3 linked regions of the Caenorhabditis elegans genome follow. The protein of the gene in region 1 purifies or fractionates together with the protein of each later gene. This does not show direct contact. Each region holds a gene or a part of one and is shown on either strand. Other genes may lie near its edges. The genes, in order: F25D1.5, Y49E10.18 and scl-2.

Region 1 (4,881 bases):
TCAGCCCATCCACTGATTACTGAAGTAAGAGACTGTGTTACCAAAATGTATGAAAATCTGGAGAGAGTTGAAGAGATTGCAGAAGATTGCAGAATTGTATGTCAAACTAATGCATGGATTTGAAGAATAATAATTATTTTTAGATTTTCAAGAATCGCTACACTCCACTTATTGAAGCATCTAACGTCCATACAAAAACAAATCCAAATTCGGAATCATTTAAACTTTACACAGAAGCCATGAAGAAAGTGTTGGCTAAACTGCAAATATTAAAAACAAGAGTTCGAATGAGTGAATGGAAAGATTTTAAAATTGATTTAAAAGAATTTGAATCATCGTATCGAGAAATAGCAAAAGACCATGTGGAAATTGAAGAAATGCTAAAATTAAGAAAAACTATGGTTACGGATATTCCAGCATTGGCGAATGAATTATCAGAAACCTTTTTGGCAGCAACAGAAAGTAGAAGAAAGTTTGCAGTATTGACAGGAATTGCTGCAGATGAAAGTTTCAGTGATAAATTTTCAAATTTCTCGAAATGTTTGGATGAACTTCACGAAAAAGCGCCAAATTTAAAGGCAAGAATAATTACTGACTTTGAAATATTCAAAATACCTAAAAATTACATTTATTTGTTTGTTTGTTTATTCGAAATTTGATAAATAGTAACAAAATGTAATACATAGAAGATCAACGGGGAAAATCGAATAATACATAAAATAAGAAAATATTTCAAAGTTTAAAAATCAAGATCTGATTTTAATTTCTATATTTTAAAGAAAACTCGATTCATCCGTGGCGAATGGCTTTCAAGACTTCGAAACCAAGTTTTGATGGCCCAGTCATATTCTCCAACTCCTCAATATGATGTGTAAGTCTTTTAAGCGTAATCTGAGTTGTGAGTAGGGTGAGCTCAGTGATGGCAAACGACGCCGCCGTGACGTCTTGTTCTAATTGAGTGTATGCGTGCAAATAAACATTAAACTTGGTACTTTCAACGGAACAAACTTTTTTCAGAGTAAATCTTCTTCACATCAAGTTCTATTTTGCACACTTTAAACAAGAGACTATTCTTCAAGAAAGATCCTACAACTTATTTTTACTTCTTGGTGAGTTTTACTCGATGTGCTTGTAACTTTGAAAGTTTTCAGCCGAAATTGGAGGAACCATTGGATTATATGTTGGAGCAACACTTCTAACTGCAGCAGAAACTCTTGTTTTTCTTTGTGAACGAAAGAAAAGTAATATATTCCTAAAACCACAATTTATATAAAAGTATTCAATGTATTTTATTGTGTATTTTACGACTATTACATTAGATAACAATGGTTAACAAAATCTGAAAAAAAAAGTTATAGTTTACTGACTAAGAACGGACATAAGATCATGTGTTTGCATTCCCATAACAAGAGTTGATCCTCCATCAGCAACAATCGATTGTCCAATAATGTAAGATGAGAGGTTTCTATCAGCCAGGAATACAATGATATTGGCAATTTCTTCTGGCTTTCCACAATGCCCAACAGGAATGCATTCTTTCCGTGAGCCAATAAAACTGTAAAGCTTGTCAGATGCAGTTTCTGGTAAACCCATCGCTCCCATGAAACCAGTGGCAACTGCTCCAGGGCTGACAGAATTTACGCGGACACCATGTTGAATAAGATCGATTGCAGTGCATCTGGTGTATTGGTCAAGCGCAGCTTTTGCGCAAGCATAATATGGATATCCAGAGTGCTGAAAATTAAAACAAAAGTTCTGAAATCCTCTCTCCCGAAGCTTACTGCTTGTGGGCCAGCAACGATACTGGAAACATTTACAATCTCTCCTTTTGTCTTTATCAAATGTTCCTTTGTTTTCTGAGTCATTTCGATCACAGCTTGGAAGTTTAACTTGAATGTTTTCTGATACAACTCCACTGGTTGATCCGTATTAGCTGTTCCGTCAGCTAAATTGGCACCAGCATTATTAACCTAAAACAATTGAGTATATTTCATTTTCTATCTATGTACATACCAAGATATCAATTTTTCCGAATTTAGCAAGAGTCGTGTTGATGATATCATCTTGTCCTGATGCTTCGGTAACATCAGCAACCACGGCATTAATCTTCTCAGCTGGAACTCCTGCTTTCAATATTTGCTGTTTGGTTTCTTCTAGGCGATCTTCATTTCTTCCAGTAATTGTAACTTGAGCTCCTTCCTTTGCAAAAATCACAGCAGCCGATCTTCCGATTCCATTAGAAGAACCAGTTATAATGACAGACTTTCCAGAAAAGCGAGCCATTATTTTGAGATTACAAAAATAAAATGTCAATCAGATGAATGTGATGTTTAAATGCAGTTTAATGTTTTCTTTTTATACTCATTGCAGTTAAAATTATTTCATGGTTGAATGGAAGTTTGTAGTTTCCGTGACTAAAATATGAAATATCTGTTTACGTAGAGAGTATTTTCAAAGTTACTTCCCGAAGAGACCATAGACAGTGTAACAATTTTTGTGACTGTTAATTCCTCTGCGTCTCTTTGAATTGTGTCTATTTTTGTGCAAGCACAGTTGAGGGAAGATCAATTGATCAAGTTTTCAATATGAAAACACAACTATGATTTCAGGAATTTTAAAATTTTATTTGCTTAAAAAAAAAATAATTTCCGTGTCCAATAGTCTTGCACCCATCTCTCCATCTTTAGCTGCTTATTTTTCGGTTGTTTTTTTAATTTTGTCAGACATTCGCCAACTAGCAAAATATAAACAATAAGCTTTTTCTTAGGGCTTTAATAACACATTTCTAGTATCGTTAAAACGTAGTGCGACACTAGACGTCAAAATGAATTAATTTGGTGAGGAAATACGGTGAATAGTCTCTCTAGATCCAAAAACTTGTTTAACAATAATTGTTTGAGAGCTTTGGCACTTTATTTTAAAGTGTAATGTTGAACTGTAAATATTTTTTCATCGTTATTTTTATTTGCAGATCTTCGAACAATGTTTTTCATTTGTCGGTATTTTTTATTACTGTTATAAAAGTGCTTGTGTAATATCTTTGAACAATGTTATTTTATTCAATTGAGCAAAGTTCCGATTACTACTCCGATTAGTCCACCACTATCATTACCAATTATTCAAAATGCTCAAAAAATGGAAACAGCCGAAATATTGTTACGTCTAACAATTGCAGGTGAAACTTTTTTGCCACAAAACGTATCCTTGAAAAACGCAATAAAGGCTTTTTGGTACGGTGTGATGGTGACAATAACAATGAACGCATCAATAGCTGTTGGAAGAGAAAGCATCATATATAGAACTTTTTCAAAATTTGAGAGAAACGGCAAGTCTGAAAATTGTCACATATTATTTTACTGTAAAAACGGACAGGAGCCTACCATAATTCTCAAGTATTAAGTGAGCTATGTATATAGGAATCACACAAACTGCAGGGACAAGTGTCTGAATCGTCAAAGCAAGATCAAACTTCTTGGCTTGAGCAGCAGTTTTATCAGTAAATAAATGTTTTAAACTGTTGAGTTTAATTTGTATTAGTCTGGAAACACATTGGTAAGTATTTCTTCGAAACTCAAATTTATTACCTAATAAACACAATACTCATGATTGGTGGGACGAAAATGCTTATCATATTCAAATTTGTTGCTAACCAGCTCCAAAAATGTTTTTGATATCCAGTGATATCCGCATAGTACCGGAAATCATATTGTGTTGAATGAAACTTCCTGGTCTCTGAAGCAACCTCAAGAGATTCGTCTGGTTCGTACGTTATCACATAGATCACCTAGAAACATTCATATTTCCATTCTAGATCAATCACGAAAAGCAAAACTCACCCCCACAATTAAAGATAGAAGGTAAGAGCTTAAAAGAATCATTCTGATTTGATTTTTAGTTATGTTTTTCATATTAATATTTGTTACTTTTGTATATTTGTAAAACAATGTAGCAGGAATTGCAAAGGACGAGGCATCAAAGACTAACTGAATTTTGAATATTTGTAAAAAATAACAATTACAGGACACTTACCTGGAAAAAATCAAAACTGAAAAAGCAAGCATTTTTATGAGTGTGTCTACAAAACCCGCTAAAAAGATATGCTGACGATTCTGGATTGTTCACAGGTCTGAAGGAACAGTGTTAGCTAAAAATTAATATTATCGTACAACTAACCTGACTTGTGTGAAGACAACTATTATGCACATGAAAAACTGTAAAGTTGAAGAATTGACAAGAAAGACACGAAAATCTTTGAATACTACGGGCGTTTTAAAAACAACTAAAAGCACGACGGAAGTTTGACTGAACATGGTAAAACCAAAATAAACCCAAAAATAAATTGGAAATATGACAGTGTCGTAAAAGGTCTGAAATTAAAGTAACTGGCAATTACTTAAATGATAATCACAGATATTTTTCATATATGACAGGCAATGAAAGATTGGCATTTTAGTATATTTTTAAAAGTTTATTTTAAAAAGCAATCTTCCAATTGATTTTTCCTCATAAATACCTAACTAGGAGACTCACCATTGGTGGAAAAAGAAAAATTACTCACATTTGCTTCCATTGTCATAATACTAGAGTTGGCATTCTCATTGGATACATCCATGTGGTAGAAATTCTGAAATTCGTAATAAGAATATTTTTGTGAAAAATATCCAAGAAGTAACGAGGATGTTTACAATCTGGTAGATTTTTCTCGATTCGGGGAAATATATACTCCCTGTGGTAATATATTACCTAATTGTTATTCCTGTATGATGGTTTAAATCAGAACTACGTTCGGTTAAAACTAATTTGAATTCAAATCAAGATCTTTTTGTTTGTTGAAAAGTAGAGTAAAGTTTGAGTAATTTCACACAAAACGAAACATCTAAT
Region 2 (4,938 bases), on another chromosome or scaffold:
CGATTCTCCGCTACGGCGAGCAAGTCGACGTGTCGAAAATGGTGACAAGCGACGGTGGTCTGAATCGTCGTGGTGTTCTCGAGTTTCCCGTACCACTGATGTTGACCGGGATTCCACCGGATTTCCGAGCAACTGTCGAGATTTATGGACAACGATCGATGCGAGAATCGACGTCGCACGAGGATAAGTACAAGTTGAAGAATTCGACGTTTAAGGCGAAGGTTTGTTTGTTTTTTTCCGAAATATTTGTCATATTTTACATACTCGTCCGTTGAAAATTCGAAATGTCTGCTGCTATAGAATATCGACAAATGGTGTTGTTATGATGTTGTTGATGAGTGTGAGCATGAATCGAGAATGACAGCTGCTGAAAACTTAGCAAGTGAGGAGAAGAAGAGAGTGCCCCTACCCTGTAGATTGTGGAGAAGATTGCATGATGTATGTCTGTTTGTTTGTTTGTTTGTTATTGTCAAATGTCTTGTTCTTCTGTTTTCTGTTAATAATGTATCATAACTTCATCTTCTTCACGTTCCGGCAAGTGGTACATCCATGCAAATGCGCTCTACTGATAATTTGAGTGTAGACCAGGTTTGGGCGCGTGATAACGAAAAAAGCTTTGGTCCAAAAAATGTAGAATTTAATATCGGGCATTTTTTATATGCATCACAAAAAAACTGGACAACTGTTTTTGAGATACACGCGCCCAAACGTCCAGGTATACGGTAGACAAATTGCGTACAGGTACCACTTCTCGGGCCGTGTTCTTAAAGCCGCACAGATTTATTCATATGGGTCTCGGCGCGCCGTTGTTTTAAGCGAATTTTTCGCTACATACTCGCAAGCAATTTGATTGCAAAATGGAAAATAAATGAGGTTATCATGCGCTCCGAGACCCTTCTGAATAAACCCGTGCGCCTTTAATTAGACGTGTATATCAATAGAACCTGGAAATAAGTAATATTTCTAGACTCGTAACACATTCCTGGGCGGCGGATCAACTTCATCAGCAAACCAGAGCCTATTCGTCGATCCAGCAGCATCGTCATCATCAACTTCGTCGACCACATCCAACTTCAATTTGCTCGGAACATTCTCGTTCGACATCAATTGCCCTGGAAAACATTTGTACAACATGTCACATACTGTATATCCGCTCGAAGGTATTACACAGATGAAAGTACGCAAACAGGCGATCGATGGAGCTGATATCACTTATCACGGATTCTTGTCAATGTATCAGAGAACTGGCGAGGGGCTCGGATCGTGGACGAGATACTGGTGTGCTCTTGAGAATGGAGAGATGAAGTTTTGGAAGCAGCCAGAAGATGAGGGAACTAAGGTTTTTAAATTTTTATTTTTTTTGTCTAAAATTAAACTTTTTTTATTGTAGGGTTACACTGCACTAATGGATCTTTCAACGTGTTGCCGTTCCGAAGGTGCATCGGTAGTTGAAGACATTTGCCCATTCCCGAATAGCTTCCACATTGATGTTTGGGCTCCAAAAATGGATACATCGGATCCACGTGGCATTGAGCGTCTTCGAGTTATGCTGGCGGCCGATACAGCTCAAGATCTTCAAACATGGCTGTCACTGATCAATTCTACGTCGAAGCAGTTGTGCACGTGGAGAAATCCGATTGTTAATCAGTAGTCCCCCCCTTTTTTGCAAGCTTTGTGCCTGTATGTATCCCCCAGTTTTTCCCCTCAGATTTTTTTTGACAAATAATCAAATGTTTTATTATTATTCTCGTTACTTCTCTCTCTCTCTCCATGTTTAGCTTCCTTCTTTTCTAGAATTTACTCCCTTCTTTTTTAATCAATACATCACTGTCCCATTATCATTATTCCACTCTTTTTGGGCCTTTTTCGATTTATTCGAAAATTTTAGTTTCACAGTGCCCCTCACCATCGTACACTCTTACAATTAATTTTCGGTTTTTTTTTTGTTAAAATAAACATTTGGTGAAAGTGTGAGAAAACAGTGGTTCCGAATAGAATGAAGAAGACGGAAAGAAAAGGAAATATTCAAGTTAAAAATAACTTTAAATCGAACTAGATATGCCATGTAATTACAGATAAAAAGTTCAACTTTTTTTGCGAAAAATGTTAAACTGTGCTCAATTTTTTGCTCCTTTCAACTGATAAGCTTTCACATGTGCGCCGCCCAGCGGAATTTATATAAAATTCGGGTTTCTTATCAGTTTTCCTATTTCTTTAGGAATCGATGCATTTTCTAGTCTATTTTTCGATATTCTTCACGATTTTAGGCGCTCAGCTTGTGGAGTCAAGCAAGTGCTCCGATTGTATTGCTTCGGGGAAACAGTGAGTGTTTAAAATCGAAATGCAAATGCGCTCCACCGCCAAAAGTTGGGTCTCGTTAGGTCTTTGGAGACAAAACCGGGAATTTCAATTTTTAAGTGGTATTCGAATGATTCAATAGATTCAAATACCTACCGAGACCCAAGTTTTGCCCGTGGAGCGCGCTTGAACCTCAATTTTAAATAATTCTTTTTTTTTTGCCCACCATAATAGCATAAAACATAAGCGGAAAAGTGAGGCAAATTTGTAAGAAGGTGTAGGCACAAAATGGCTTGCCCGGCATGTAACAATTTTTTCGAATTTCAGCTGGTGTGTAACAGTTAACGAATGCGGATTCTCCCCATGTTTAACATCAATTTCTGTAAGTTATCTTATCAATCACAATTTCACGTGGTGCCAGAAAGCCCCATTTTGATTTGATCTCCGAAAAGTGCGGGAGAAGAGACGCAGAGTTTTCAACTGATTTCGCATTGTTAAGAACGTGCTGACGTCACATTTTTTTGGGCGAAAAACCCCGCATTTTTTGTATAACAAATCGTAATGGGACAAGTTATCTTATCAATCACGATTTGATAAACTGATTTTTTGTAAACTCTACAAATATAAACGTTTCCAGAAAGCACTAAACTGCCCGGAACTACCTGATAAAGCACACGCGTATGATGATACATTTGTGAGAACAAAAATTTTATTGACAACTGCTGCCGCATTCAATAATAATCCACAGAAATGTTTCAAGTGAGAAAAATTTTGACACGGGGTTCTGGCCTTACTCATTGAATTTTTCGCGCTCCGTTGACAATCACCAGCCGAACTCCATATGGACCAATAGATTCAGTTTTACAACTAGAAACGCGACGCGACGCGACACGCAACGCGCCGTAAATCTACCCCAGATATGGCCGAGCCTAGTTCGGCAAACTCTTCCATTTCAATTTATGAGGGAAGCCAGAAATCCGTGTTTTGAAAAAATAACATTTTTTTAAACACTACCAACGGCGTTTTTTTTCCAGAAACTCAATGCCAACAATGACACTATCCAAAACTTTTAGTGTAAATTGCTCAGAAGTTGGGCCACAAACCGATTGTTTCGGTTTCACATCATTCGATACAACACAAAAAGTCGTTGTCATGTCGTTTCGGGGAACTCAAGGAGCCACACAGTTGACTGAAGAGATTTTGGACTTTTTTACGTGAGATTGAATTTATTACGGGAACACGGAATTCTGCGTATTGCACAACATATTTGACGCGCAAAATATCTCGTAGCGAAAAGAAAACTACAGTAATCCTTTAAATGACTACTGTAGCGCTTGTTTCGATTTACAGCGAAGTGCCATTCTCATTCGTTTCTTCGTATTATTTTCTCACTTTTTGCCTAATTTTAATATTCAATCGATAAATAAATGATTTTAATTCTTTTGTGCCCGTAAATCGACACATGCGCTACAGTACTCATTTAAAGGATTACTGTAGTTTTCGGTACGAGATATTTTGCGCGTCAAATATGTTGTGCAATACGCATTTTCAGAATTTGTCGAAAAATTTTAAAATTTCGAGTAAAAATGGTTAAATCCAGCTGTTTTTAAGATTTTTGCGCCAAAACCCAATACACGGTCTCGACGCGACAATTTTTTGTAAAATGCTAAAATGTGTGCGCCTTTAAAAAGTACCGTAGTTCAAAATTTCAAAATTTTTATCGATTTTTCGTAGATTTTCGTCCGTTTCTTTGAAATTTTCTGAGTTTTATAGAAAAAAAATATGAAAAATCGGTTTTTTCATAAATTTTTTCATATTAAAATTTTTCAAACATTTTTCATACAAAAAAAAATTCTGTAAAAAAAACCAAAAAAAAATCTTAAAATCAATAAAAAAAACCAATCAGCGATTTGCTCCGCCCACATTCGGACCAATCAGAGCAAGTGGGCAGAGTTCAAAGATGCTGATTGGTCGGGGAATTTAGAATTTAGCTAAAATTTTAAAAAATCGTGTTTTTCCCTTTGTGAATTTGTTGAAGTTTTGCAGGGGTAAAAAGCCATTTTTCAATGATGCCGGACACATTTTCACCTACTTCTACGATGCATTCTTTTTCCTCTGGAATGGAGGTCTTCAACAAGAAATTCGTCGACTAAAATACCAATATCCAGAGTATGAATTATGGGTTACTGGGCACTCACTTGGTGGAGCAATTGCATCGATTGCAGCTTCTTATGTTGTCCATTCAGGACTTTATACTGGTGATCAAGTGAAACTTGTTACGATGGGACAACCGCGAACCGGCGATTATGATTATGCTGTTTGGCATGATAAGACTTTTCCGTATTCATTCCGAATTGTTCATCATAGGGATATTGTTCCACACATTCCTCCGCAATATGGAAAGGATGAGCTTTTCCATCACAGAACAGAAGTTTGGTTAGTTTTTTTTCTTCAAATTCACGAAGTTCCGGCCTTCCTCACTGCATTTTTCGCGCTCCATTGACAAGCTGGACAACGCGTGGGAAAGTCGTGTACTCCACACGGACAAATACATTTAGTTTTACAAGCCGCCACGCGACACGCAACGCGCCGTAAATCTACCCAAGGTATGGCCAATCCGAAATGGCCTAGTTCGACAAA
Region 3 (4,938 bases), on another chromosome or scaffold:
CACATTGAGAGTCGAGACAGATGGAAAACTGAATATTGGGCGTTTTCGTCATAAGAAACTTCTTCATGCAAATTCAGCTGATGAAATCACTCGTGGAGATGATATTCCTAATTTGGAAAGAAAAAAGTCGGGTTCAATGCCAGTCAAACATTTGAAAACATCGTCGTCGTCGTCGCCGTCGCACTCGAACGGCAAAAGCAAGGGCGGAGAGGGGCTTTCTCTTGGAAAGATTTAGACTGAAATTAATAGTTTGTGTATAATTTCCAATATTTTTTGCAAGAAAAGTGTAAGAAAAATTTTGAATTTTTTGAATTTTCAGGTTTTTTTTGACAAAATTCAGTACAAAATGAATGACTAAAATGAATAAATATTTTATTTGAAAGATAATAACAATGCAAGCGTTTTCAAACGTGCGGTATAATTGTTTCTGACTCCAATCATTTAGACCAAACAAAAAAATCAAATGATGATTTCACAAAAACTACAGTAGCAATAGTTCCATCTTCCCTTTCGATATCCCAACCATCGGAACAATCAAATTCTTGAAAACCGATTCTGAAATTGGAAATTGATACCGTATTTCCTATGTCAGTTTAGCATCCCTACAGATTTTTAAGTAAATTAGAAATTTATTCACTTGTTGCCAGACCTACACATTGTTTGAAATAAATAAATAAATAAATAATTTTTTTGCCAAAGAACAATCATTTTTCCTTTTTACCACTAATACCTGTATACTTTTTCTCGGCGTACTTCGTCCCATCGACTAACTACTATTTCATTCAACACCACTACCCAATCTCTTATTTTGAAATCATGGTCCAAGTGGAATCTTCTCAATTCTTTCATGTTTCCGTTTAATCAATTACGGATAAAATGATTCAAGTATTCTGGAGTAAAGCTATGGTTCCATATTGTCAGTTCTTCACACTTCATCAATTTGAAGTCCTCAAGTGTAAATCCTGGATTGAAGTAAGAATCCAGTCGGCGAATATTGAATAAGTTAAATTTAAAATTACAGATAAATTACGATTTAGTTTATTATAATTATTAATATTAATGAGGAAATCAGTACTTACTATATTTTTTGTCAAAGTATAAAGTTTTGTTAATAAAGTTTTGTTCCAGTTTTTTGCTTGATTCTCTAGTAATTATTCGAGTACAAACCAGGGGTGGGCGGCAAATTTACCAAATTTGCCGAGTCGAAAAGTGTGTGGGTTTGAAGCCCGATAGCATAATATTTTCAGTCCGGCTGATCTTTTTGATATCCGTAAAAAGCTCAATTTGTTGTTGTTATTGACCAAATCGTTTGGATCATTTATGAGTTTTCTCTACAATGGACAAAAATAAAGATTGTTGTTGTTTACGTTTTGCAAATATTAAAAGTTATTTGAAAATCTCGTACTTGATTAAAAAACTCCTCTCATAAAAAGCAGCACGTTTGCAACTTTAAATCATAATTTTGTTTGCCATGTACTTCATTCTCTGCCTCCTAGCAATTGGTGTCAATGCTCAATTCACTTCAACTGGTCAATCAAGCATTGTGGATGCTCATAACAAATTGAGATCCGCTATTGCAAAGAGTACCTATGTTGCGAAGGGAACCAAAAAAGAACCAGCAACTGATATGAGGAAAATGGTAGGTTTTAAATTGCCCAATTATGTCAAATAAAAAACTTAAAGTTTTCTTTTTTCAAGAGTTTCAAGTCATTCAAGTTGGGGTAACTTTTGGCAATCATATTTGAACAAAAAGCCCAATGATGATACTTCAATAAACTTTTCAGGTCGTGGATTCCACCGTAGCTGCGTCGGCTCAGAATTATGCGAATACGTGCCCAACTGGACACTCAAAGGGAACTGGATATGGGGAAAATTTGTATTGGTCTTGGACTTCTGCGGATGTTGGATCCTTGGATTCCTATGTGAGTCGCATAACTTTTCTGGGACAGAAATCAATAATTCTTTCCAGGGAGAAATCGCCGCTGCCGCATGGGAAAAGGAATTCCAAGACTTTGGCTGGAAGTCTAACGCAATGGATACCACCCTATTCAACAGTGGAATAGGACACGCTACTCAAATGGCTTGGGCAAACACCAGCTCCATCGGGTGTGGAGTCAAGAATTGTGGACGAGACGCATCGATGAGAAATATGAACAAAATAGCTGTAGTCTGCCAGTATAGTCCACCGTAAGCACTGAAGTTTTTGATTTTTTTTAACTCAAAATTGTTCAAAAATATTCAGAGGAAACACTATGGGACGGCCGATTTATAAGGAAGGAACTACGTGTTCCAGCTGTTCCGGATCTACTAAATGTGACACTGCTTCTGGGCTTTGCGGATAATGAGAGATTTCACTTTTTGTGTCTGTAATTTTTTAATTTATTTGTTTTGTTTTAATCTGGGAATTAATTTACTAATGAAGCATTTGTTTTTTCTTGGTGATTATATAAAAAAAATAAAGCGAAAACTTTAAATTACACCAAACTTTTTTAAAATTTACGAAAATGCACACAACATCAAGTGCAGGCAAAAGTAAAACATTCTACTTGCCTATGTGCCAACAACAAAATTAGGAAGAAAATTCACTTCTTCCTAATCAGAATACTTGTTGACTTGACTCAAATGTTCATAATTACTGATAAAAGTCAATTCTTTGGTCTTGTGCTGCCCACTTCCGATCATACGTAGCTTACGATTTCTCAATTATCATACAATTTTACAGGTTTTCGCGTGATAAGACTCCTATAAAATGAACCGCAGTGATAAACATATTCGTGTTGACTTGCACTTTTTTCTCCAATTATGAATTACTTGTTGCTGGTTGTGGCGCTTGCTGTTGGCTGCTCCGCTGATTTCGGCTCTTCCGGACAAAACGGAATTATCAATGCACATAACACTCTGCGGTCTAAAATTGCAAAAGGTACCTACGTGGCAAAAGGAACTCAGAAATCGCCGGGAACAAATCTGTTGAAAATGGTATGTACATAACTAAGGTTCTCAGATTTATTTTTGATTTCAACTTTTCAGAAATGGGATTCCGCAGTCGCCGCATCCGCCCAAAACTACGCAAACGGGTGTCCGACGGGACACTCTGGAGATGCAGGCCTTGGGGAGAATTTGTATTGGTATTGGACAAGTGGATCTCTGGGAGACCTCAATCAATATGTCAGTCATTTAGTCTACCTTGTGCCTGCCTGCCTAGACCTACTGCCTATTTTGTTCAAATTTTGCCTAAATACAACATGCGAATATTGGCAGTAGGCAGGAGGCAGGCGCTTGATACCTTCTTTATTTTAAAAGTTTCTGAAATTTCTATAATCAATCTTTTCATTCAGGGATCTGCTGCGTCGGCATCATGGGAAAAAGAATTCCAAGATTACGGATGGAAGTCTAACCTTATGACTATCGATCTCTTCAACACAGGAATCGGACACGCGACTCAAATGGCGTGGGCGAAATCCAACCTGATCGGATGTGGAGTCAAGGATTGTGGAAGAGACTCAAACGGCCTGAACAAAGTAACCGTCGTGTGCCAGTACAAGCCGCAGTAAGTGAGATTTGTTGACTAGTCTATGTTGACTGTGTCTGCGAATGTTGTGTTTTGTGTTGTTCTCTAGGATAGGTTTGCAAAAAAGATAAATTTTTGGTCACGTTCCCTGAAACAAAATCCAAAAAATTAGGCAATTTTCAACAAATTTTGATCATTTTGAGGAGATCATTAAAAACAAAAAACCCAATAAAAATTATACAAAAATACGAAAAATATTGTTGTTGGCGAAAAGTGAACTGTGCTTCGACAACTGGTAAAGTAGTCTTGAACACTTTGTGAGTTAGGATTTTTCTGAAGAGTAAAAAGTAGTTTTAGGAAAATTAATTTCAACCGAGACAAAATTTTTAACATAAAAAAAAATTGAAAAGTGTATGTGCGAGAGAGCCCTGTTGAATACAAGCTACTGTTTGCTAATACATCAATTTTCAGAGGAAACTTCATTAATCAATACATCTACGTATCGGGAGCAACCTGTTCCGGCTGTCCATCAGGAACGTCATGTGAGACTTCCACAGGGCTCTGCGTCTAAACTTTAATAATGCAATGTGTTTTCAAACTTTCTGTAGATAATAAATAAAATTGTGTGCTAGTTGAAAACCAGAACACAAACAACCTTTGATCAAAATGCCTATGTAACAAATGCGACGATTACGTGTTCGAAATCCTATTGGCAGATTTGGAGTATAATGAGCAGTTAGAACTTTATTGGGAGGTCAAAGACTACTTGTGTCTAGAGATGTATCTAAGTTATGAAAAAAGTTCAAGCTATAGGTTTTTTGACTACGATATCTTGTATGTATTTTCAAAGATGTTGGTGATTTAGTTGAAAGTTAACAGCTTGAAAACGTTTTTATTTTTCCGTTTCTGACTTCCATGAATTTCAAAAAATTACCGTATGTCTGTATTGTTACTATCTACTGTGTGAAATTTCAAAAAATGAAATCCAACTTCAGCCTCCCTTTTGTATATAAAACAAACAATGTCAACATAAAACTCTTACCAATTTAGTCTATTTCTATTAAAGCACACGTTCTTTAGTTTTTTCCCTCTTCCCATGACTTTTAGTTTCCCTCACGGCGACGACGACATCCAGTTGTTCATACAAACTAAAATCTCCTATAAATATCCAACCTACTAGTTGTATTTTCAACAGACAACATGCACACCTTTACTCTTCTCGTTTTGGTTACCCTTCAGATTGGTAAGTTTTTTTTTTGGAAATTTTTGAAACTAATTTTCTTCAATTTTTCAGGAGCTTATGCTCAATTCAGAGAAAGCACTCAACAATTCATTGTGGACCTTCATAATAAGCTTCGTACTTCAATTGCCAAGGGAACATATGTGGCTAAAGGGACAACAAAAGCAGCTGGTAGTAATCTTTTGAAAAT

Evidence for each region.
Region 2: the proteins of F25D1.5 (region 1) and Y49E10.18 fractionate together in Caenorhabditis elegans (co-fractionation; one large-scale study listed by BioGRID). This does not show direct contact.
Region 3: the proteins of F25D1.5 (region 1) and scl-2 fractionate together in Caenorhabditis elegans (co-fractionation; one large-scale study listed by BioGRID). This does not show direct contact.

Annotation. Positions count from the first base shown.
Region 1 is NC_003283.11:10,544,470-10,549,350, forward strand, and holds F25D1.5 (DeHydrogenases, Short chain), read right to left. Parts: upstream 2,315-4,881; 5' UTR 2,284-2,314; coding exon 2,014-2,283; intron 1,971-2,013; coding exon 1,782-1,970; intron 1,735-1,781; coding exon 1,360-1,734; 3' UTR 1,274-1,359; downstream 1-1,273. Other genes in the region: degt-1 (Acid-sensing ion channel 1), read left to right, coding at 5-96, 144-578, 780-871, 1,018-1,109, 1,152-1,273; srd-34 (Serpentine receptor class delta-34), read right to left, coding at 3,129-3,331, 3,381-3,538, 3,585-3,784, 3,837-3,983, 4,030-4,126, 4,174-4,211, 4,559-4,612.
Region 2 is NC_003281.10:12,443,388-12,448,325, reverse strand, and holds the start of Y49E10.18 (Fungal lipase-type domain-containing protein), read left to right. Parts: upstream 1-2,219; 5' UTR 2,220-2,224; coding exon 2,225-2,322; intron 2,323-2,625; coding exon 2,626-2,680; intron 2,681-2,935; coding exon 2,936-3,057; intron 3,058-3,332; coding exon 3,333-3,512; intron 3,513-4,344; coding exon 4,345-4,734; intron 4,735-4,938. Other genes in the region: ani-1 (Anillin-like protein 1), read left to right, coding at 1-221, 968-1,339, 1,391-1,651.
Region 3 is NC_003282.8:13,054,920-13,059,857, forward strand, and holds scl-2 (SCP domain-containing protein), read left to right. Parts: upstream 1-2,790; 5' UTR 2,791-2,802; coding exon 2,803-2,976; intron 2,977-3,027; coding exon 3,028-3,165; intron 3,166-3,335; coding exon 3,336-3,547; intron 3,548-3,979; coding exon 3,980-4,079; 3' UTR 4,080-4,143; downstream 4,144-4,938. Other genes in the region: F49E11.7 (Serine/threonine-protein phosphatase), read left to right, coding at 1-235; scl-1 (SCP domain-containing protein), read left to right, coding at 1,472-1,639, 1,785-1,922, 1,970-2,187, 2,243-2,342; scl-3 (SCP domain-containing protein), read left to right, coding at 4,709-4,751, 4,803-4,938.